Arabidopsis thaliana: one gene and its partners. The protein of the gene in region 1 interacts with the protein of each later gene in a biochemical or structural test. Each region holds a gene or a part of one and is shown on either strand. Other genes may lie near its edges. The genes, in order: AT4G08170, MPK16, MPK4 and MPK2.

Region 1 (6,301 bases):
TTATTTTCATATTTTTCAAAATTTTCAATGAAAATTAAAATATTTTATCTGCTTTTTTCATTATGGTTGTTAATGTTCGTTTCACAAGCTTTAATGGTATCAAACTTTTACTCTTTTGAGGGTGTGGAGAAGTCTCCCAATGAGAGAGCTATGTTTCATCATGATGATTTTCTCTCCTAATCTTCATCCGAATAATCCCTAACACCATCTCAAGCACTATTAGGGATCTAATGTTATTTCGTTCGAGAATGAAGACAAAAAAGTATGAGGTTTAAAATTCATTCGTCTCTACGCTTCCCCAATATTTAGAGGCAGTTTACCATCTGCGTTTTAAGATCGATAATCTCTAGAAGGGATGATTGGCTCGGGTGGTGATGGGGCAAGATATGGTCTCTAACACGAGGAATGTGTACGTATATGGGTATCATTGTAAATCGGGAAAGAGTAATAGTCCAGCTAATCTATAACTTCGTGAACAAATCCTTGCGGTGCACAATAGGGACTTTCTAGTAATGCGACCTTCACTATGAGACTCTCACTTGAAGGAGCAAGAATCATCTTCATGAAAAATATTATGCCATTTAGAACATCATAAGTAGAGTTTCTAATACGTTAAAGAGATCCACACAGTCTCACTAGTTGAGATTTGTGTATTCTTCCTAAACCTTAAGGGATAATGCATCTACTCAAATTGTAATTTAGATTCTTGAAACCGGAGCATTAACTGCTCGAATACTCGAAAGTAGTTTGTGACAAGAGTTTCCAAAGTTGCAAAAGATCTCTTCCATCTAGAGTTGGGAGGGGATGACTTCTATGTGAATCCAAGATATCATGGTATTAAGAAACACATCTACAACATGCATCTCTCCAAATCAAAGAACCAATGGTTGAAGTAGTATGGCTTTTTGTTGAGAATCTTATAGGACTCTTTGAAGAAATGGTAAGATCATCAATTCTCAAAAAGCCAAAACAAAGTTTTCTCGAAAGCATGGGAAGATGAGTTGGGAAGATGAGTTCTAGTTAAGTCACTAAGAATGTGAGGACGTATTCGGAGGACCAAAAAGCTCAAAGTTAAAGTGATGTAGTAACTTAGCCGTTTATAAAGGGAAAGACGTACTATTTTAAGAGGAATTTTGAAGAAAGTTACCAATTTTAAAATTTAAAAGTATGTGAGATCTGCTTTTTTGAAATAAAATAATTTATTAAGTCTTTTTATACATAGAATATATATTCTTTTTAATGAAATTCTACCTAAGTTTTATTCACAAACATTCACTAATATCATTTATACAACCGTTTTGGTCATATAAATAGTTGTTGAGTTTTGATAAATTGATAAAAAATTATTTTACCTAATAAAATTATACAAAAATATTAATTTGTTTTTTTGCTAACTATATTATTTGAAAGAAAATTAGCTACATGATTTTCTCCTAAAACATTCATTTTGCGAATTATATCTAAAAAATTTAATCGTCTCTCAAACTTGTCAATACATTGATTTCAAATCCCGACCAACAATAAACTCTCCAAACTCAAACCAGATCGATCTATCTAACATTTTAAAAAATTCCAACCTAGATCATTCACGTTCTTAAACAACAACAAATCACAACTAGCTATATATCGGCTTGGCTCAGACAAAAATAAAACAGTGCAGTTCCAAGAATATGTTCAAATTGCAATATACATTTCTCATAATTAAAACATGTTTCTTTACCAAAAAAAAAAAAAAAACAACCGTTAGACACATACATGTGTACACATGTCCCTCACGCCGCTATAAATATTTCAGACCTCTCCCTACTCTCTCATAACCCACCCAAAATATCACAAGCACCGACTAAAACAATTCGGATCTAAACCCGACCCGGTAAAACCAATCCCAAATTTTACTCCGTTGTGAACGCATCAAACCCAGAAAATTTCTTCCTCCGATCTCGCATTCTCCACTTCCATAATCCCCAAAATTGTTTCGTTGATTTTTCCACAAGATGAAGCTAACGGACAACGAAGAGATCACCATGAACGGAACTCGAGAAATGGAGACGACAGAGCAAGAGACATCGTCGCCGTGTTCGTTAGTAATCGAAGCTTTTCCGGTGAAGAAATCCATTATTGTAGGTTACGCTCTTACATCAAAGAAGATTAAGAGCTTTTTACAACCAAAACTCGAAGGTTTAGCTAGGTTTGTGATTCTGATTTTTAACCCTAATTTTATTGTTTGTGCTATCAGATATTATTTAGGACTTAATCGAGCCAATTTTGAGGAAAACTGTTTACAAAAGTGATATGTACCTGTTCGGCACGAATTTTTTGTGTCAAATAGTCGGCTTTGATATTATTTAGGACTCAAATGAGCCAATTTAGAGGAAAATTGTTTACAAAAGTGATATGTAGCGGTTCCGCACGAATTTTTTGTGTGTCAAATAGTCCGCTTTGATATCATTTGCTTTCATGCATATTGTTAATGAACAAATTCTCAATTTTTTAAAATTAATTTTCATAAGAATATTCTCTTCACTATTTAATTGTTTGATTTTTCTTTTGGAATCTTTGACCTTCTATTGATGAAATGGTGTTACTATAAAGTTTAGTTACTGTAGTTATGTGTTTTGTGCAGGAATAAGGGGATATTATTTGTGGCAATAGATCAGAATAAGCCACTTTCAGAGCAGGGTCCGTTTGATATTGTGTTGCATAAGGTTAGTTTTATTGGATCTTTGTTAACCCTGTTGGTTTTCTGATACATTCATCTTATTTTTGCCTATGGTTTGTCAGAAGATATGTCTTGGGAACATCCCCTGCTCAGGTTGTTAGAAACTAACCTTGTTTTGCGTCTTCTTGCTTAGCTTCTTTTCATTGATGCCTGATTATTCTTATTTGGTGTTTGTTTTTACATGTACTGGCAGCAAATTGGAAAAGAATGGCGTCGAATTCTCGAGGTTAGTCTTACGATTGTTTCCGTTTTTGTATTTGCTGTGGCACATTCTATAGCCTAAGATTATTAGATCATGTATGTCTGTCATTCTGTGGTGATGAGTACCATGTTGATGTAGTTATGTTATATAAGCCTTTGTTAGATGAGAGATGGTGGTAAATTGCACAAGTTAGCAACTAGTTCCTTTTAATTTCTAAATCTTGTTTCTCAATGGAAATTTTTTTCCAGAGCTTTTACTCTTTCCTTGTCGTGAGTCATTAGTTGATACAAATTGAGGTTGAGACTACTGCAAGTGAGAATATTTCTACTTCCAGAGGCATAGAACTGTAACCTCTTCAGGTTTTCTAGAGTTAGATACTAGTAATGTTTTTTGAATATTGGGTTTACATGTTCCTGGTAATAGTTGAATGCAAAATCATTTCATCTTTAAGTAGAATGTAATGCTCTCTTGTCTACATATATAAGAGCCATCATCTGATTTCTCGTTGGGGAACAAGACATTTCACATCTCATAATTGCTAGAAGAATAGAAATGAAAGTATGCTGTTTGGTGTAGAAAGTAATCGGCGTTTCTGTGTGTTTAGATCCTAGAGCTATTCAGATCTCAGGAGATCAGACTATGAATCATTAGAATGCCAACTTCTGAGTATAGTTGAATGCTAGATTTATACTCTTCAGATAGTATATACTGATGATATAGAAAAGTGTCTACAATGAAACTTTAGTTGCAAAGTGCAAGTTTCATCAGTAGATTAGTTTAATTCTTAATCTTAGTTGCAGGATAGTGAAGAGTTCAACGTTGGGGATACAGTTTTTAGACTGACACTGTCGCTGTGTTAATAATAATATCAATGTAGATCAATATCTCAGGAGATCTCAGCAATACAGAGATAGAAGTTTTCTGTTTATGACCATTAGCAGGGATGCACTTTTGGGTGTTGAAAAGTAGACTATGTGTGAGCATAACTGTTTCTAATAATTTCAGGAATTTAGGCTAGCACATCCAGATGTCACAGTTCTTGATCCTCCAGATGCAATACTACATCTCCGTAATCGTCAGTCAATGCTTCAGTGTGTTGCGGACATGAATCTGTCTGATAGTAATGGTAAATATTCATGTGTAATCACTTGCTATTTGCTGTTAGGGACGCTAAGGTTAAAGATTTTATTAGTAGAGTTCTGTGTATCTGAGTAGTAGAAGTTGCTCTGATTGTGCAGGACGCGTTGGTGTGCCCAAGCAATTGGTAATTAAAAAGGATGCATCTTCAATTCCGGAGGCTGTCAATAATGCTGGTCTGAGACTACCTCTTGGTATGATTCCCTCCTTATGTTCTGTTAATGACTTTCGTTTAGCTTCATGTGGCATCTTGTTGTCTATCACAAAAGCCACCATGGCCTGTGTTTGTTCAATTGGTGGGTGGCTGAAGTTTTAGTTGTGCATTATTAATGGATCTATAAGTAAATTATTTAATTTGATGTTTAAAATCGTAGTTGCAAAGCCATTGGTTGCTGATGGAAGTGCAAAGTCACATGAGCTTTCGCTGGCTTACGATCAACACTCCCTTCTGAAGCTCGAGCCTCCTCTTGTTCTTCAGGAGTTTGTTAACCATGGTATGAGATTTTAGTGGTTATCATTGCCTGTACTAGAACTTAGATAATTTGATTACCTATCTAAATGCTTGGCTTTCGCAGGAGGTGTTCTTTTCAAGGTTTACATTGTTGGGGAGGCTATTAGAGTTGTCCGGCGCTTCTCCCTACCTGATGTCTCTAGACGAGAACTCCCCAAATCAGCTGGTGTATTCCGCTTCCCACGGGTCTCTTGTGCTGCAGCTTCAGCTGATGATGCAGATCTGGACCCGAGCATTGCCGGTAAAATCCTCTTCATCATCAGTAAAAATCGTCTGCATTTTTCCTTTGATGAGGACCTAACAATATCCTCATTCTCGTTGCAGAGCTTCCACCACGTCCTCTGTTGGAGAGACTGGCAAAGGAACTCCGTCGTGGATTGGTATGTTTCAGTCCTCTCTACTATATATCCAAGCAGGAGTATTATATCAAACTCTACTGATCTCTAATTTGTTGCAGGGTCTAAGGCTGTTCAATTTAGACATAATTAGAGAGCACGGGACAAGAGATCGGTTTTATGTGATCGACATCAACTATTTCCCAGGCAAGTTTGATTTCCACACATTTTTTGCAATAGACTATCACAAACATGTGGTTTAAGAACAAAAGAACTTGCGCAGGGTACGGGAAAATGCCAGAGTATGAGCATGTATTCACTGATTTCTTACTGAGTGTGGTACAAAGCCAATGTAAGAAACGAGCTTTGGCAGATCAATACTAAACTCAACGGAGAGACCATTGTTCCTCCCCAAAGAAAAAAAGAAGATTAGTAGTCTATGCAATTTATTTCTGTACAGGACAAAGCACCGATTTCCCTCGATGTTGTTCTTTAGCTTCATTGTGCTGTACAAAAGAACAATGGAAGATTGCATTTAAAAGAAAATCCTTGGGACCTTTAGAGATTTAAGGATAGAGAATTGTCTGAATCTCACTACAATGTCACCATATCAAAAAGTGAATAGACCTTATGTCACACACTACTCATATGGGCATGGCTTCACTTTGTGACTGCTTCTATCTTTTGATTTGGTTGGCTTTGTACTATTTTGACCATAAATGTCATTTCTTTTGGTTTTAATCTGCTCTTATCTTTTGATCATGTCCTTGTTAGTTTGTTTGAAACTTGGAGTTTATAGTTTGGATCAGTTTTGGATGCACTCTTTTATGAGTAATCTTACAAAATTTACATCACAAATTGTTGATTATTGACTCTTTTATATAAAGTAGCTTTTAAACCTTATCTAGTACAACAATTTGGTTAGATCAATGTGAACCTTCTGAGGATAGAAACCATTTTGAAACCTTAAAAAATAGGTTTACTTGCATTGTAAGGTTTAATAAACACAAGTAGGAAAACGAAACCTGAGCTTCAGCTTTGAATTCTTTCGTTCTTTCACATGGTTGTCTATGACAACAATTGAAGCCTTCTATTTTAATTCAAGCAAACTACACTTTCCTGGGTTTAAGACAAAGCAATTGTAGTTTCTCTTTTTCTTCTTCAAATCACAAAATCAATAATGTTATTTTTTTCAAAGTATTGTGTCTAGCTCTTGCTTGTCTTGGAGTTCACTTGAAACTCTCTATGTTCTGTCTTTGACATAGAAGCATATATTATATATATATATATATCAGAGCAAGTTCCTCAACCCAACCAAAAAAACTAAAACCTCAAAAGCTTTTTAACAATTATCTTCTTTTTGTGTGTACTTAATCTTCTTCGCTTGGAACTTGCTA
Region 2 (5,675 bases), on another chromosome or scaffold:
CGGTTGCAACTACTTTGGCCCTAGCAGAGCAGCATCATTGTTTGCAGCTAAAAGCAGTGTGTCTCAAATTCGTGGCACTGCCAGAGAACCTGAAAGGTAAACACACAAGATCTTTCTTTTTAATCGATCTGAATCAACTCTGTTCACATGATGAGACTTGTGTCTGTTTTTTCCCTTTTGTTATGATCAGCTGTGATGCAAACAGATGGGTTTGATTATCTGAAAGAGAGTTGCCCATCTTTACTAACGGAGCTATTGCAGTATGTGGCGAGGCTAAGTGAACACTCTGTTATAGTATCTGGACATCGAAAAGAAATATTTGCCGATGGTTGTGACGCGAGTGGAAGACGAGTGAAGCCCCGGTTGCACTGAATGGGAGAGAAAGAAGAAAGATTTGTGCATTGTATAATCTCTGTTATGGATAATGGCTGATCTAATCGGATCTAGCAAGTACAATGAATCGTTTTCAACGCGTTTTCTCATAAATCAAAGATCCAATGAAATTTGGGGTTTATTGTTGGTGCATATCAGATTATTAGGTGAAACAGATTGAGTTCATGGGATATAAGAATCGTAGACAGTGTAAGTGTTACAACGTAGATAAACAAAGGTTGTTTTAAGAATACAAAACTATGAAGACAAATTACATGACAGGATCTGTAAGAACTTCTTTTATCTTCTCACGCTTCCTTCTCTCATTTCGCTCTTAAGCATGTCTTCACGTTTCGGCTCTTGATAACACAATGGATGACTCAAAGGGATACTCTTTTTAGCTCTCCCTGAGACGTGAGGTGGTAAAGCTAAAACTAGAACCATAACATCATGTTTAATACCAGCGACTCATTGCAGTATCTTGTGCTGCAGACACTTTTTGTGGTATATACTGAGTGTTTGGCTTCAATCTACTTGGACCTTCAGCAGCGGTGGCGCAATCTTCATCTCCTCTGTTGCTTTTGCAAGGTTGAGTCCTCTTTGGGTATTGAGACGCAGCAGCTGGATTTCTGACCATCCTTCTCTGTTGTTGTTCAAGAGCTTCAACGCCTGTGGCTGCGCCGCAGTTGTTATAGCGTAACACTGATCCAACTACTTTACCAGGCCTAGCTACTGCAGCACCTGCTTCATTACAACCAGATAAATGTTCAGGAGACAGAGTTATTCTGCATCATAACATTATATACAGAGAGGGTGAGAGACCTTGGATTGTTTGAGGGACGTTGATAGGAATTCTCGACATTGGCATCTGGGCATTCCTGTCTGCACCCCGAGGTCTCTCGTCTCTAATGCTACACTTGGAGAGTCCATCAGTGACTTCAGCTGAACTCTGTTGTGCCACCGGATGATTGTTATCAGAGTACAATACGCAAGCCCTGCAAAACATAAAAAGAGGCTTTGTTGAGCTGTTTCGAAAGAATCCCAAATGATCAAATTTTTAAAGGACGTAAAGCATACCTTGGTAATGATGCATGCTGTTGCCTCTCAGGGGGATTATGAGAAGTACCATTCTTGTAGTGTTCCTCGAGGTAAGCAAATTGTTTCTTGAAATGTTCCACCGCACTGCAGAATGAATAATACATTAACCATAAGAACATGGATAATACACAGGAGTATAGTATGAAGCAGGTCAGCTCAGGCCGGTACCTCGGGTACATAAAGTTAGTTGGCTCTGATCCATCCAAGTATTCTTTCAGCATCTTTGGGTGGTACTCCAGAGACTCTCTGTATATGAGCTCTCGGACGTCTTCTTTTGTGATCCTCCGCCTTTCAAACTCAAATTCCAACTTTGTGACAGGTTGAGCAGAAGGCTCTCTTTCAACCTTAGCTAAACCCTTGAAGTACACATCTGCAAGCGCCTGAGGTAACACATAAAACCATTTAGTTAGCTATAACCAAAGTTACATCATAAGGAGTGTAAAGAACGAAATGTATGAACCACCTCTTCAGCTGTAGGCCGGTCCTTGGGTTCAAAAGACAACATCTTTTCTAGAAGACGAAGAGCAAGAGGATCAGTATGTGGGAACTTATGTGAAAAAGGAATAGGCTTCTTCTTCCTCATGCTGCTCAAGTATCTTCGAGCTTTCTCGTTCCTAACCTGTTTCAGTGTAAGAAATTCAGCCAAAAAAAGAAACAATGCTTAAGCATTGTGGAAAGGAACACATACCCTTCCAATGGCTTCAGCAGATGGAGTTCCCAGCATATCCGTCATCAGATCCAATTGATGGACCACATTTTTCCCGGGGAAAAGAGGTTTCCCTGTTAAGAGTTCTGCAAAAATGCACCCGATGCTCCATATATCTATTGCCGGTGTATACTGAACAGAAGCATAGATAAAGAAAAAAAATGTTACCATAAAATTTTATAATCTGAATGAGAGAGCTATAGTGTCTACTGACTAGATTCCCTATGAAAATTTGAAACATTCGATGAAAGTATATATACAAAATCATGGTCACCTTTGAGAAAAAAGATCCACATAGTTCTGGAGCCCTGTACCATCGAGTAGCTACATAATCCTGCGATCAGAAAGCAGTAGGAATAAAAAATTGGTTTCATACCAAAAAGAGTAAACTTGTAAAGAGTAAGCATTTAAATTACTACTACTCACAGTCCAGAATATCGCAGTCGGTGTATCATTGAATGCGACTCTTGCAAGTCCAAAATCACAGATCTTGAGTTTGCAATCAGCATTTGCCAATATGTTTTTGGGTTTAAGATCCCGATGAAAGACATTAGCTGAAAGGAAGAGAAAAAAAAAGTATTTTCAGAAAGATAATCATAAACTTATACTAATCAATGAAATTTTATTGCTCGCTAGCTTAACCTGTGTGTATATACTTGAGGCCACGAAGAAGCTGATAGAGGAAAAACTGATAATGCTCAGGAGTCAAATCATCATTTGCCTTAATAACCTGATGCAAATCAGATTCCATAAGCTCGAAAACCACGTAAATGTCTCGAAACTCTCTTCTTGAAGGCGGCAACAAGATGTGTTTGATCTCAACAATGTCAGGATGGCGTAAGAGTCTAAGAAGTTTGATCTCACGAAGAATGCGAGTTGCATCCGAAACATGCTCAAAGATATCATTGATTTTCTTAATCGCAACTTTCTCTCCGGTATGTGTATCGTAAGCAGAACAGACAACTCCATAACTTCCTTTACCAATCACTTCCTCTATTCTGTATCTGCTTCCTTCACCATATTCCGTGAAGAAATCTACCTCAACTGATGACTGAATATACAGAAAAATCTATTGTCAATATCAAAAGCTTCAATACAGAGAAAGATTAGGACTAAACTAAAAGGCAGTAACAGTAAAAAGGATTGCTACAGATCCTAATCAGTTCTAATAAGCAAATCTGATACATAAGAGATTGAAAAATTGGACCTTTTTGCGGTGATCAGGCTGCATCTTCAGCTACAGGGCATTCAAAGGACGCTTACGAAGACCAAATGTAATAGCTTCTGAAACCCAAACTTAGTGAGCTTTTGAATCAAAAAAATGCAAAGACTGAGAATTTTAGTTCCAAAGGCAATGTCAAAAACAGAGAGCTCTATATCCAAATCCCGAAATCCAGAATCGATTGAAACAAATCAGAGTAGTTCCCGAGACCAAAAAAAAGGAGGCAAATTTATGGGGTGAAACAAGGAATAACCTAATCGAGATTTCTTTGCTTTTTGAAGTGAAATCAAAGAGATCAAAAGAAGGAAGCGATGGGTAATTTGAGAATCACTGAGATTGAAGAAAGACGAGGTTTTTATCTTCTTCGATCAATCTCTCTGCTTGAAATGGCTAAAAGGAAAAAGGAGAGAGTTTTTGAAAGTCGAGAGAAGCTTTTATGGTTCAGAAACCCAAAAATGATTCTTTTGAGCTAATAAAATTTCTTTACAGGATCTGAAATCTCACGAAGCAGACGAAGAGGCAAGTTTATTTGCTCACTTTTGTAGAAGAAAGTGTAGAGAGGAGAGATCTATGAGATGAAGAACAGAACAGAACAAATTATTAAAATATTATTATTATTCGTTTCTTTTATTGTGATAATTGAAAAAAGCGGATAAGTGGAGTCTGATTATCGTTGTACGAAAACTCCAATTTGCCCCCCAAGGTTTATGGGTACTTGCGACTTTTGTCTTAAATCTAGCTTTTGGATAATGTCCAAACGTCGAATATAATACAGTGTGGATATTTTTGTATAAACTATTTTAATATATGCTCTTCTTAATGAATAGATATCCGATTTATTATGGATTAGTGATGACTTATAATTATTACAATAATAAATAGTTCGTTTACTTTATAATTTTCTTTCGTGTCATAGTCGTTGTTAAAGACATATAAATGAAGTGGATTATCCTATATTTCGAATCCGATTGAAATGAGTGGTTTAAATTTTTTTTCGTATGCAGTTAATGAGTAATCTTACTTATTTTTAAGATATAGAATTTGACCGATAAGACATACTTAATTATCTAGAGACAATATTTATGAGTTATGTACAATGGTACAAGAAACTTACAAAAACTTATATATGCAATCGTCAATCTAGTATTTTATTTGAAATATGTATTTCGTATCTAATATCTTCTGTCTTTGGTGGGTTCTTTGAAATTGCTTCATAACTGTAGGTGCTTGCATGCGTAAACTTTTGCATGGTTGGAAAAATTGCATTTGCATCGATTTCAAACGTATAAATAAAGCGAAGCTTTAAATCTTCAAGTAGATGTCACTACAAGAAAACACGCCAGTTGCGAGGGAAGAAACCGTCGCTAGTCTCTCGCAAAAAGCATTTAGCGAGGGAATTGCGACGAACTCCAGTTCCTCGCAAAACGCGCGTCGTAAAATCAAATTCGTAGCAAGTTCCTCGCAAATGTTGCGAGGAACAAGTTGCCTCGCAAAACACACGCAATTTGCAAGGGAAGCAATCCGTAGCAAATTCACAGCAAATTTCGGGTCTCGCAAGTTTCTCGCTAGTTGCGACGGACGACCAGACTCGCGAAGCACACGCAATTTGCGAGGGACGTACTCGGTAGCATATTAGCTGCAACAGTAGCCTCGCTCTTTCCTCGCAAGTTGCGAGGGAATACTTCAGTAGCAAAGTAGTCGCAAATTCTTTGTCCCGCTAATGCCTCGCAAAATTTGCGATGGATTTGCGTGGCTTTTATCTGTAGTCGCAAATCCGTAGTAAAGTTTGCGATGGATTCGCGGTAAATAAGCGACTCTTTTCTGTTTTGTTTTAAGCATGATTACTGTTGAATATAGGGATTACTGTTCTACTTAACAATATTTAATGGTTATCTTAATTGGATTTTTATACTAAACTTTGAAGTTGAATACTAATTAAGAAACCTTAAACTCATATTTAAAAGCTGAAATTTTAGGTTTCAAGTACAGAAAAAGAAACTGAATACAGAATGTTAGAAGGCCAAATAATTTTACATAACAAACCAACAAAAGATTCAAGTTTTGATGAGTGAAAAAGAAACTTAATACAGAATGTTAGAAAGCCTCAGATGGAGATGACCCAGTGTTTGGGTTAGCTACAACAGCCTCAGGTTCGACAGCTTCAGGTCCGATCCCAGCAGTTGTGGCATTAGGCGCATCAGGTGGATTGGAGCTGACTGGTTCAGTTCTTGAAGAGGATCTGACTCGAAACAAGGCAGCAAACTCTGGATCCTTCTT
Region 3 (5,703 bases), 4.6 Mb from region 1:
GCCTCTTAATCACAGAGTCACTTGGATGATGACCATGTTCTCGTCCTTCAACCCTGGAAACGTTCATCAGTCTAATGAATTTGTCGTTGGAACCCGGAAATGGTTGATATTATATTCCTCCTTTTTCCCAAAAACATAACACAACTTATATATAATACTAATAAAAATGCATCACAATATATTTGATCAGGAGAATTAAAGTTCATCCAAGAGGGTCTATGGGTGAAAAAGACAAATCATTTTCTGTGTATCTATCGGCACTAGGGTTTGTCAATAATGCACCAAAGACTAAAACTTACGCGAGGTTCAAGCTGCGTGTATTGGATCAAGTTAGCAGGAATCATGTTGAGAAAACAAGTATGTGTTTATTATGTTTTGGAAAGTCTTGTGATGCATGATGGTTAAATACAGTACTAATCTTTTTCTCCTGGTACGTATAGTTTCGGGTTGGCTTGGTGCAGAACCTGATGACCGCCATGGCTTTGCGGATTTCATGCCTCTAGGGGAACTTGATGACCCTTATTTGGTGAAGGATAAGCTTTATGTGGGAGTTGACTTTGATGTCATTTCCGTCTCTAATTACTGTTAGCTATATAATCAGCAAGAAATATTTATAACGTATGAATAAAATGCTGGAGAATATATATAGTACTATTATGTAACTAAGCTACTGATGCCGTAATGACTTGTGATGTGTGTCGACGTACGTGTTGCTGGAGATGAAGATGATGTGCTTGGCGTGTATTTTCAGTTTATGGGCATAACAAGACAATCTACAAGATTTCATAAGCCCAGTTTATCAACTATAGAGACTTGGTTCTCAATCGTTATTGTTTCTTGTTAGTTTTGTTTTGCAAATAAGATCTTGTTTTTTTTTCAAGGAATCGTGAGCATTCCATTGCTTTTACTACCTATATATATGAGAAAAACGCCAAAAGAAAAGACATAATTTGTTTGCCAAAAGAAACTTGTGTTCCACGTTGGGGATTCTTTGATCTTCGAACACAATCACAACCTCAACGACGTCACTCAAGTCTCCGGCGCTTTGGAATACGAGTTCTGCGACTCTTCTTCTCCTAAAGCCGTCTACAACCCTGGACACGATATCGTAACCCTCACGGAACCAGGTTTTCACTAGTTCATCAGCTCAAACCATGCTCAATGCGCATCGGGACAGAAGCTCGACATTCTTGTCGTTCATGACTCGTCACGTCCCATTCCTCCAACACCACCGAGCAAGATCCTTCCTCCTTGAAATATCTACAGAGTTGGTGTGGCTCCAAGGGATGGAGTGTTCCGCAAGAAAGTTACTTTTATTACAGATGGAGTGAGAAGACGCAGTTTCCGATCGGAGACAGTCTTCTTTTCGAATACGACAACGAAGTCAACGACGTCTTAGAGATCAGCGGGGACCTTGAATTCATATCCTGCTACCCGATTTCTCCCGTAGCCGTGCACATGACAGGCCACGATCTCGTCACGCTCACAGAACCAGGAGTCCATTATTTCATTAGCTCTAAGACTCCAGGTCACTGTTACGCTGGGCTTAAGCTACGAGTCGTGGTCGGACCACTCACCAAAGCCGTACCTGTCCCCAATGTTCCGACGAAGAAGATAGAGTTGTCACTTATGGACCGCTTCAACAGATGGTTACGCACCTTCGGACCTCAACCCCATCATTAAGATAATTAGTGGATGTAATTAGAGTTAAGACTTCTCTGTATTTTCTTTCGACTAAAAAGTAAGGAAATTTAAATACACTCTATTGCAAAACACAGCTCAAAGGTTGTTCTTTTCTTTTTTTCCAATTTTTTAGGATGTTATTCAAATTACAGACATATTATCAAACTTATCAGAGATTTGATAACAAAAGCAGAGCAAAACAAAACATAGCATTTTGATGAGTTTCCTTTTAAGGATATATATCTCTCTCTCTTTCTCTCACACTGAGTCTTGAGGATTGAACTTGACTGTTTCACGGTATATAAGCTCCTTAATGTTCTCTTCTGTCAAAGTAGGTTGCTCGAAATCAAAATTGAACGGCCTCACACATACCGGTTCTTCGTTGATATCATGCAGCGGCGCCAAATATGGGTGGCACAACGCCTCATCAACTACACACACAAAAAACATGTTCAGAAAATAGCCGAAGAAACAGAGAAGCAGTTATATAAAATATAACTCACCTGTGATGCGTCTGCTTGGATCAAAAACAAGCATTTTCTCCAGCAAATCGACTGCACCAGCCGACATGTTTGGGAATCTAGCAGCAAAGTTCTGTCTAGGGTACTGTGGAAGCTGTCTAACGTATCTTCTTGCATTGTCACTTCTTAAGAATCCCAAGCTTGAGTCATCAGGAGATCCTATAAGCTGCTTTCCAAAGATTCATTAATACCGTGAAGAGAGACTAAGTGGTGATTCTTTGGATGAAACATACTAAACTAGATTACCTCAGTGATGAGTCTAAGCTGATGAACATAATCTTTACCGGGAAACAAGGGCTCTCGTGTCATTGTTTCACCGAGTATACAACCGACAGACCAAATATCAATTGCTGCTGTGTATTCAGAGCAATTAAGTAGCAGCTCTGGAGCTCGATACCAACGTGTAACAACATATTCAGTCATAAAGTCAGTCTCGGATTTGGTCCTCGCAAGCCCGAAATCCCCAAGCTTTAGATCACAATTTGCATTCAGGAGCAAATTGCTAGGTTTCAAATCTCGATGCAATACATTAGCTGAATGAACATATTTGAGCCCACGCAACAACTGATACAGAAAAAACTGCAAAACATAATCGAAACTAATTACTAAACACAACTTCAAAGCATAACAAACGAAATCCTTATTAGCTCTCACTTATAAAGTATCAAGCAATACTCATCAGATGCTCTAACACAATAACAGCTGCTTCTAAAGTAGAAACAGAAGATTCAGCTGCTAGATATAAGCAAGATGGAGATTGATGCATACCCGACAATGATCATCAGTTAAGGGTTGGTTAGAGCGAATAATTTGGTGGAGATCAGTGTCCATAAGCTCATAAACAATGTAAACATCATTGAAGTTCTCTCTCTGCGGTGGTTTTATTATATCCTTTACAGCAATCACCTGCACAATAAACCAATATAAGATTCACACAAAAAAAACCAGAGATGCTGATGATTAGTAACACGTACATTTTCATGATCCATATGCTTGAGAAGCTTAATCTCTCTCAAAGTCCTTTTAGCATCGATAATATTGTCAAAAGCATTACCAATCTTCTTGATAGCTACCTCCTCTCCAGTCTCTGAGTTTGTAGCAGCACTGATCAACAATTATCAACACAAGTTATTATAATAACAACAGATTCCAAAACCCTAATTCCCAAATCTAAGAACCCCAGAAGTGAACATTACATGTTTCAAAAACCCAATCTGATTAATTTTGGAACTCACCAGACAATTCCATAAGCGCCTCTACCGATAGGACGAAGAGGAGGAACATACTTTCTAGAAACTTCGAAGAGATTGCCATAGACATTATACTGAACATAGCTACCACCATGAGTAGCCACTCCTTTGCTGCTGCTTTGATCACCCGAGCTTCCGAAACAACTCTCCGCCGACATCGGAGCAAAATTCCTCACAACAACGAAAACGAAGAACCCTAGAGAAATTGAGGAATCGAGAAGATGGGTGTTGACATTTCGTTATAAAGTCTCTACCTTTACCCTTTTTTTTTTATTGAACGGTAAAGAGGAAGTCTCCTCTCGAGTCACCCGTGACCCTTAAACCGGGTTTGCGTCTTCTTCTTTGGTTTTTGTTCTTTTTCTTTGTAATGTCAATTTTCAATTTTGTTTATGGTATCGAGTTGGGTATATCCGATGATTGTGTCTCTAAGTAATTGAGGAACGGGTAAGTGTTTTTAGTCAATTGGTTAAGTTTTGTTTACTGGAGTTTGCTTCTACTAAATCGCGTTATCCCACGAAGTAGAGATTAGATATGGTTATGACTTTTGCCGAAAAAATGTAATTGATGAAGTTTGTAGAATGGAACAAGTTAATGACTTCATGTAGGAATGTTCTTGATATCATATTATAAAGTTTAAAAGAATCTAGATGACAACTTTTCTCCAATAAGAATTTAAGTACGACTTGGTATATTGGTGGTGTACAAGTCAATGGGCGGCCAAATTGTTTTTGACCATAAAACTGACCTTTGATTCCAAAACCATTAGTGAAAAAAGGTTTATGTATAAGATAAAATGACATCATTTTGATTTTTTTTAAAAAATCATGGTTAAACAACTTATATAACCATGTTGAAGTTTGGTGCATTTGTTATTATTAATAGCTAGAATATCTGGTTTGCTTTGATTGATTGATCATGTAACCATGAAAATAACACTGATTTTTTTTGGTCTAGTGATTTACAATGGGCCTCAAGCAAACCCATCACTTATCCATTATCAACTAAGATGAACTAAAGCACAATTCTGACTAACTTGAAAATGTAGTTATAGCTTAGCACCGATTGAAAAGAGAGAGTTATCAATATTTGAAGCGTTTTAAAGTCTCATTTTTATCTGCATTTGTTATTACTTAACATCAACGATACCATAATTACATGTTTCCTCTATATTCACAAACAAGTCTTAGCTCTTTTCCTCTATATTAACACTTTTAACCATCGTTGGCAATGTCACTCCTAGCTCTTCTGCGCATTTCGTCCACAGGCTCTCCAACAATGCGTCTCGGGCAGAGATCACCATCTTCGACAAGCAACGTGTTTCCTTGGAGACTAGCTCAAACCTTTCCGAAAGTTCTATCACTGACTTCTCCAATGGTTCCACTAACAAAATAGGAACCGACCCTTCTTGTACCGCTGTGTAAAGCTTCTTCACACCGGTTTCAACAGCCTCGAGATCTTTTATAACCGTGAATCCGTCTGATAAAAATGTGTTTTTGATCTCCGGGTTAATAGTGTTCTGCAGTTCCATGAAAGCTTGAACCCATGGAAGCTCCTCCATCTCCTTTGGAATGGTTAGATAGAAGAGATTCTTGGAAGAACCCGAGAACGATGCATCAAACACGCTGAATATGTATAAAGTCTTGACCTTTACACCGTATAAAACTCGTAAGAGAACTTTTCCTTCCGCAGAGTATTTCTTCTTCCCCTTCTTGGAGATATGATGATGATGATCCATCGATTCAACCAGCCTACTCAAAACCGCGCCCCAGTTTTCGATACTCGGGTTCTTGGAAACCATGTGCTGATTCCAACGCTGAAGAATATTGCCACTGTTTGTCTCCAGCTTACTAAAAGCAAACTTTAGTAATAGATTGCCATGTTCCAAATGATATATCTCTGAGGTAAAGGCGTTGCAGAGTTCCCGCTTCAAGCTAAAGTCAGAGAAGATATAAATGAAATTCTCCTCCAAATCCGATACTGGAACCTCTAAATCCTTCACGAGCGTCCTGATACTCTTGTGTGTCTCACAAAGAGACTGCATGGCTTGTATCATCCAAGAAACACTAACGATATCATTCTTATCCTTTGGTACAAGTTCTCTAATCGATACCGTCAAGTTAGTCTCGAAATTGTTCAACAGTGAGAGAAGCTTTGGCGATAATCGAGCATTGTTCTTCTTCGTAAACAGAATCTTGAACGGGTTCCGAGAGCGTGTACGTTGTTGGCTCATATCAACTGAAAACACACAG
Region 4 (4,414 bases), on another chromosome or scaffold:
TATGAATTGGATTAGATAATCTAGTTTTTCGTTTCTGTGATTTTGGATATGTTAAAAAGAAACGATTTTTTTCAGGCAGAACAACAGGTTTTGAGACGTAATTGGAGATTTTCATGGGTTCGAAATAGTACATTGATGCAGCCGATGACTAAGGAAGTCCCCTGGTATCTGGTATGTCTGTTGGACTTTGATTGGAGTGTATTACTTTCTAAAGTCATTTACAAAATATGATATTGGTTGCCTATAGGACGACGGGACAGGTCGTGTGAATGTAGATGTATCTCAAGGTGAATTAGGCTTGGCGTTGACGGTTGGTAGTGATGTATTTGAAAAGGCAGAGCCGGTATCGCTTGTTCAAGGAGCGTTGGGTTATCTTAAAGGCTTTAAGGTCTTTTCTTTTCCTTTCCTACCACTTTTCATTGATTTGCTTTTGTTTTGACAATGCTTATACATTGTGGCACCATTGTTGTCTATAGATACTTGGAGTAAGACACGTTGAGCGTGTTGTCCCAATTGGTACACCGCTTACAGTTGTTGGTGAGGTATGTCTTTTATCTGTTAGCGGTCCAAAATACGTTTTATATCTCTCTTTGTTATGTTGCTTACCATGTTAACAGGCTGTTAGGGATGGCATGGGGAATGTCAGGATTCAAAAACCTGAGCAAGGACCTTTCTACGTCACTTATATACCGCTAGATCAGCTCATCTCTAAATTGGGAGATTTGTCAAGGTTGTTTCTTTTCTCTGTTTTTGCCTATTCTTTTCTTCGAAAACTATGATTGAAAAAAATTCTAAAAGATCTCTTTCTTTTGGCAGGAGGTTCAAGTATGCCTCCATGGGTTTAACTGTTCTTGGTGTGATTCTTATTTCAAAGCCTGTGATTGAATATATTCTAAAGAGAATTGAAGATACTCTAGAAAGAAGGCGGCGACAATTCGCACTGAAAAGGTATGACGCACCCTAACCACAGCCACGTATGAAGTATTCATTGCGAGTTGCGAGTTGCGAGTTAAGTGTTGGGTAACTTGTTGCAGAGTTGTTGATGCAGCTGCTAGGAGAGCCAAACCAGTAACTGGAGGTAGTAATAGTATCTATCCATTAGAGTTTGTACTTTGTAGTAGTAACATGTGAATCCTTTTTCTGCATACACTTGGAATTGCTCTGCTTACAAAAACGTCTTACCAGGTGGTACAAGCAGAGATGGTGATACACCTGATCTCTGTGTGGTTTGCCTTGACCAGAAGTATAACACCGCTTTTGTTGAGTAAGTATAAGACCGCTTTTCTTCTAAAAGCTCTTGAAAACCCTCTCACTGATCAAACATGGCATCTTTTGATTCCTCTTTTTGTTTGGTTTGGACTTGTAGGTGTGGTCATATGTGCTGCTGCACACCATGCTCCTTGCAACTAAGGACCTGTCCTCTTTGCCGGGAACGAATACAACAAGTTTTGAAAATTTACCGCCATTGAAGGACAAAACTCAGAACGATTTTTACAAGCGAACAATTACTAGTCTTGTACATATAGTAAAGCCTTTGTATCATGAGTTTTTGACTAGAAATTTTTTTGCATTGATAGATTGTGATTGAACAAATGCTAATATAAATTTCAAGCTTAGATTTACATTTACTAATGAAGTTATATAATCACGTTTCGATGTTAAAATAAGAAGTGAAAAAACGTGAACGGCAGGATTCGAACCTGCGCGGGCAAAGCCCACATGATTTCTAGTCATGCCCGATAACCACTCCGGCACGTCCACTTTTTGTTAATTCCTCACTATCTTAAATATCTAATTACCGTTAATTATTACAAATCAGGTTGGGCTTAATTAAGCCCAAAGTTAAAGACAGATTAGTGAAGGAGACAGAGAAAGAAACAGCTCTAAAATGGTAATGAACGAGAAACTAGAGAGTCAACGGTCATAGCGTTGACCAAATCTCTCACTCTCACCAGCCAAATCTCTCCAACTTCCTCTTTCTCTCCACCCAAATCTCGCCGGCGATCGTCACTGACGAATCTGATTCGTCCCCAACACTCAACGGGTAAGCTCTCTCTGCAAAATTCAGATCGTTCTAGCTCAATCTCAACATCGGATCAAGATTCAACTTTTGTTCTTTTCTCTTAAACAAAGCTTTTGATCATTAGTGAAATCTAAAATATTAACCTTTGAATCTGTAAACTTAAGCTTAGAGAACCCTAAGATCAAAACTAAAAATTTGATCTTTCATTGTCACTTGTTGGAAGCAATTCAAAATTCTGTGTTGTGTATATTTTCAAATTTGTGGATTGTTCCAATTTCGATAAAGTTTTGATTTTTATTCCTTTTGTTGTGTGTTTTTATAAGGAGGTAGAAGAATGGCGACTCCTGTTGATCCACCTAATGGAATTAGGAATCAAGGGAAGCATTACTTCTCAATGTGGCAAACACTTTTCGAGATCGATACCAAATACGTGCCTATCAAACCGATAGGCCGAGGCGCGTACGGTGTGGTTTGCTCTTCGGTTAACAGAGAGAGTAATGAGAGAGTGGCGATCAAGAAGATCCACAATGTGTTTGAGAATAGGATTGATGCGTTGAGGACTCTTAGGGAGCTCAAGCTTCTACGTCATCTTCGACATGAGAATGTGGTTGCTCTTAAAGATGTAATGATGGCTAATCATAAGAGAAGCTTTAAGGATGTTTATCTTGTTTATGAGCTTATGGATACTGATCTTCATCAGATTATTAAGTCTTCTCAAGTTCTAAGTAATGACCATTGCCAATACTTCTTGTTCCAGGTATGTGATTTGTTTGCATTTGCTTTTACCATTAGTGTGTGTTGTTTGCATTTGGTGTTTGCATTTACTTGCTTTTTATTTCTTTTGCATAGTTGCTTCGAGGGCTCAAGTATATTCATTCAGCAAACATTCTCCATCGGGATCTGAAACCCGGTAACCTCCTTGTGAATGCAAACTGCGACTTAAAGATATGTGACTTTGGGCTAGCGAGGACGAGCAACACCAAAGGTCAGTTCATGACTGAATATGTTGTGACTAGATGGTACCGAGCACCAGAGCTACTCCTCTGTTGTGACAACTATGGAACCTCCATTGATGTCTGGTCAGTCGGTTGCATATTCGCCGAGCTTCTTGGAAGAAAACCAGTATTCCCGGGAACAGAATGTCTAAACCAGATTAAACTCATCATTAACATTTTGGGTAGCCAGAGAGAGGAAGATCTCGAGTTTATAGATAACCCAAAAGCCAAAAGATACATAGAATCACTCCCTTACTCACCAGGGATATCATTCTCTCGTCTTTACCCGGGTGCAAATGTTTTAGCCATTGATCTGCTTCAGAAAATGCTCGTTCTTGACCCTTCGAAAAGGATTAGTGTCACGGAAGCGCTTCAACATCCTTACATGGCGCCTTTATATGACCCGAGTGCAAATCCTCCTGCTCAAGTTCCTATTGATCTCGATGTAGATGAAGACGAGGATTTGGGAGCAGAGATGATAAGAGAATTAATGTGGAAGGAAATGATTCATTATCATCCAGAAGCTGCTACCATAAACAACAATGAGGTCTCTGAGTTTTGAGATCAAGTCTTTTGCAGGTACTGTTCAGAGAGATCTTTCAACAACTTAAACTTATTTATTTTCATGTTTGCTTCTTGAAATGTTGTTAATAATAGTGTCGAAGAAGAAGAACAATAACTTTAAATTATGTGATATGTTTGTGTCATGGAGCTTTGTTTTGTTTTTGGTTACAAGCTTAAGTGTCTGTAACGTTTGTACATAAGTGTATGTGTCCTTAAAACTTCATACTCTGTCTCTGATCTTATTGTTGGTGATTTTTCTTATTGAAGATTTTCGAATGTTCAAAGAGCAAACCATTGGATTAAATATGATTTTGAAGATAAATGTATTAACACAAAGATATACACTGTTTAAAAAAATTCATGAAATAAAACATATGCATAGAATATCAAAATAAAATTATTTGGGAAATAATTTTCAATGATACATAGAATGTTCCATAGATTCGTAGAATTTTTATAAATGTGTTTTTGACTTTCATGTACCTAATTCTGAATTCAGACTTAGTATATTGTGACATTAATAGAAGTATTAATTGCTTTGTTTGATAAAAATATTTTGATGTCTATCACACACTTAAATTTAACTTAAATGATAGAAAAAATGTCAATAATTAGTAACATTTATGCTTTGGAAAAATATTTTGATGAACAGCGTGTGAATAAGAATCTTTTTTTACTTTTGTAAATGGAAAAATGTAGGACTGCACTAATTATTGAAACCATTGATGTGAAAAAAAAATCAAGAGCCAAAGAGATAAAGATTCTAGAAGACCAAGTCAAGTCTTCTCGTCGATTAATAGTCAATGAATGTTCCTCATCATCATCTCTTTGA

The links.
Region 2: of the proteins of AT4G08170 (region 1) and MPK16, one has a biochemical effect on the other in vitro, tested with the Arabidopsis thaliana proteins (one large-scale study listed by BioGRID).
Region 3: of the proteins of AT4G08170 (region 1) and MPK4, one has a biochemical effect on the other in vitro, tested with the Arabidopsis thaliana proteins (one large-scale study listed by BioGRID).
Region 4: of the proteins of AT4G08170 (region 1) and MPK2, one has a biochemical effect on the other in vitro, tested with the Arabidopsis thaliana proteins (one large-scale study listed by BioGRID).

What each region holds. Positions count from the first base shown.
Region 1 is NC_003075.7:5,162,694-5,168,994, reverse strand, and holds AT4G08170 (Inositol 1,3,4-trisphosphate 5/6-kinase family protein), read left to right. Parts: upstream 1-1,802; 5' UTR 1,803-1,994; coding exon 1,995-2,188; intron 2,189-2,623; coding exon 2,624-2,705; exon of another isoform or gene 2,706-2,900; coding exon of another isoform or gene 2,901-2,912; coding exon 2,913-2,945; exon of another isoform or gene 2,946-3,926; coding exon 3,927-4,047; intron 4,048-4,159; coding exon 4,160-4,252; intron 4,253-4,432; coding exon 4,433-4,552; intron 4,553-4,633; coding exon 4,634-4,810; intron 4,811-4,893; coding exon 4,894-4,949; intron 4,950-5,026; coding exon 5,027-5,111; intron 5,112-5,187; coding exon 5,188-5,288; 3' UTR 5,289-5,775; downstream 5,776-6,301. Other genes in the region: AT4G08160 (glycosyl hydrolase family 10 protein / carbohydrate-binding domain-containing protein), read left to right, coding at 6,301-6,301. UniProt on the Arabidopsis thaliana protein: Kinase that can phosphorylate various inositol polyphosphate such as Ins(3,4,5,6)P4 or Ins(1,3,4)P3. Phosphorylates Ins(3,4,5,6)P4 to form InsP5.
Region 2 is NC_003076.8:6,344,270-6,349,944, forward strand, and holds MPK16 (mitogen-activated protein kinase 16), read right to left. Parts: upstream 3,999-5,675; 5' UTR 3,408-3,998; coding exon 3,384-3,407; intron 3,228-3,383; coding exon 2,819-3,227; intron 2,731-2,818; coding exon 2,603-2,730; intron 2,511-2,602; coding exon 2,451-2,510; intron 2,309-2,450; coding exon 2,159-2,308; intron 2,090-2,158; coding exon 1,934-2,089; intron 1,851-1,933; coding exon 1,639-1,850; intron 1,555-1,638; coding exon 1,450-1,554; intron 1,368-1,449; coding exon 1,195-1,367; intron 1,114-1,194; coding exon 827-1,113; 3' UTR 501-826; downstream 1-500. Other genes in the region: BPM1 (BTB-POZ and MATH domain 1), read left to right, coding at 1-96, 191-372.
Region 3 is NC_003075.7:565,128-570,830, reverse strand, and holds MPK4 (MAP kinase 4), read right to left. Parts: upstream 3,915-5,703; 5' UTR 3,613-3,914; coding exon 3,440-3,612; intron 3,309-3,439; coding exon 3,179-3,308; intron 3,111-3,178; coding exon 2,973-3,110; intron 2,784-2,972; coding exon 2,451-2,783; intron 2,371-2,450; coding exon 2,187-2,370; intron 2,115-2,186; coding exon 1,942-2,114; 3' UTR 1,684-1,941; coding exon of another isoform or gene 1,267-1,683; 3' UTR 1,109-1,266; coding exon of another isoform or gene 965-1,108; 3' UTR 827-964; coding exon of another isoform or gene 755-826; 3' UTR 590-754; downstream 1-589. Other genes in the region: AT4G01390 (TRAF-like family protein), read left to right, coding at 1-102, 191-357, 441-589; AT4G01380 (plastocyanin-like domain-containing protein), read left to right, coding at 755-826, 965-1,108, 1,267-1,683; BPS3 (BPS1-like protein), read right to left, coding at 4,638-5,684. UniProt on the Arabidopsis thaliana protein: The ANPs-MKK6-MPK4 module is involved in the regulation of plant cytokinesis during meiosis and mitosis. Essential to promote the progression of cytokinesis and for cellularization (formation of the cell plate) during male-specific meiosis.
Region 4 is NC_003070.9:21,882,164-21,886,577, forward strand, and holds MPK2 (mitogen-activated protein kinase homolog 2), read left to right. Parts: upstream 1-1,854; 5' UTR 1,855-2,044; intron 2,045-2,346; 5' UTR 2,347-2,357; coding exon 2,358-2,780; intron 2,781-2,872; coding exon 2,873-3,580; 3' UTR 3,581-3,888; downstream 3,889-4,414. Other genes in the region: ZCF61 (E3 Ubiquitin ligase family protein), read left to right, coding at 76-171, 248-388, 477-542, 618-730, 817-948, 1,035-1,078, 1,186-1,264, 1,367-1,469.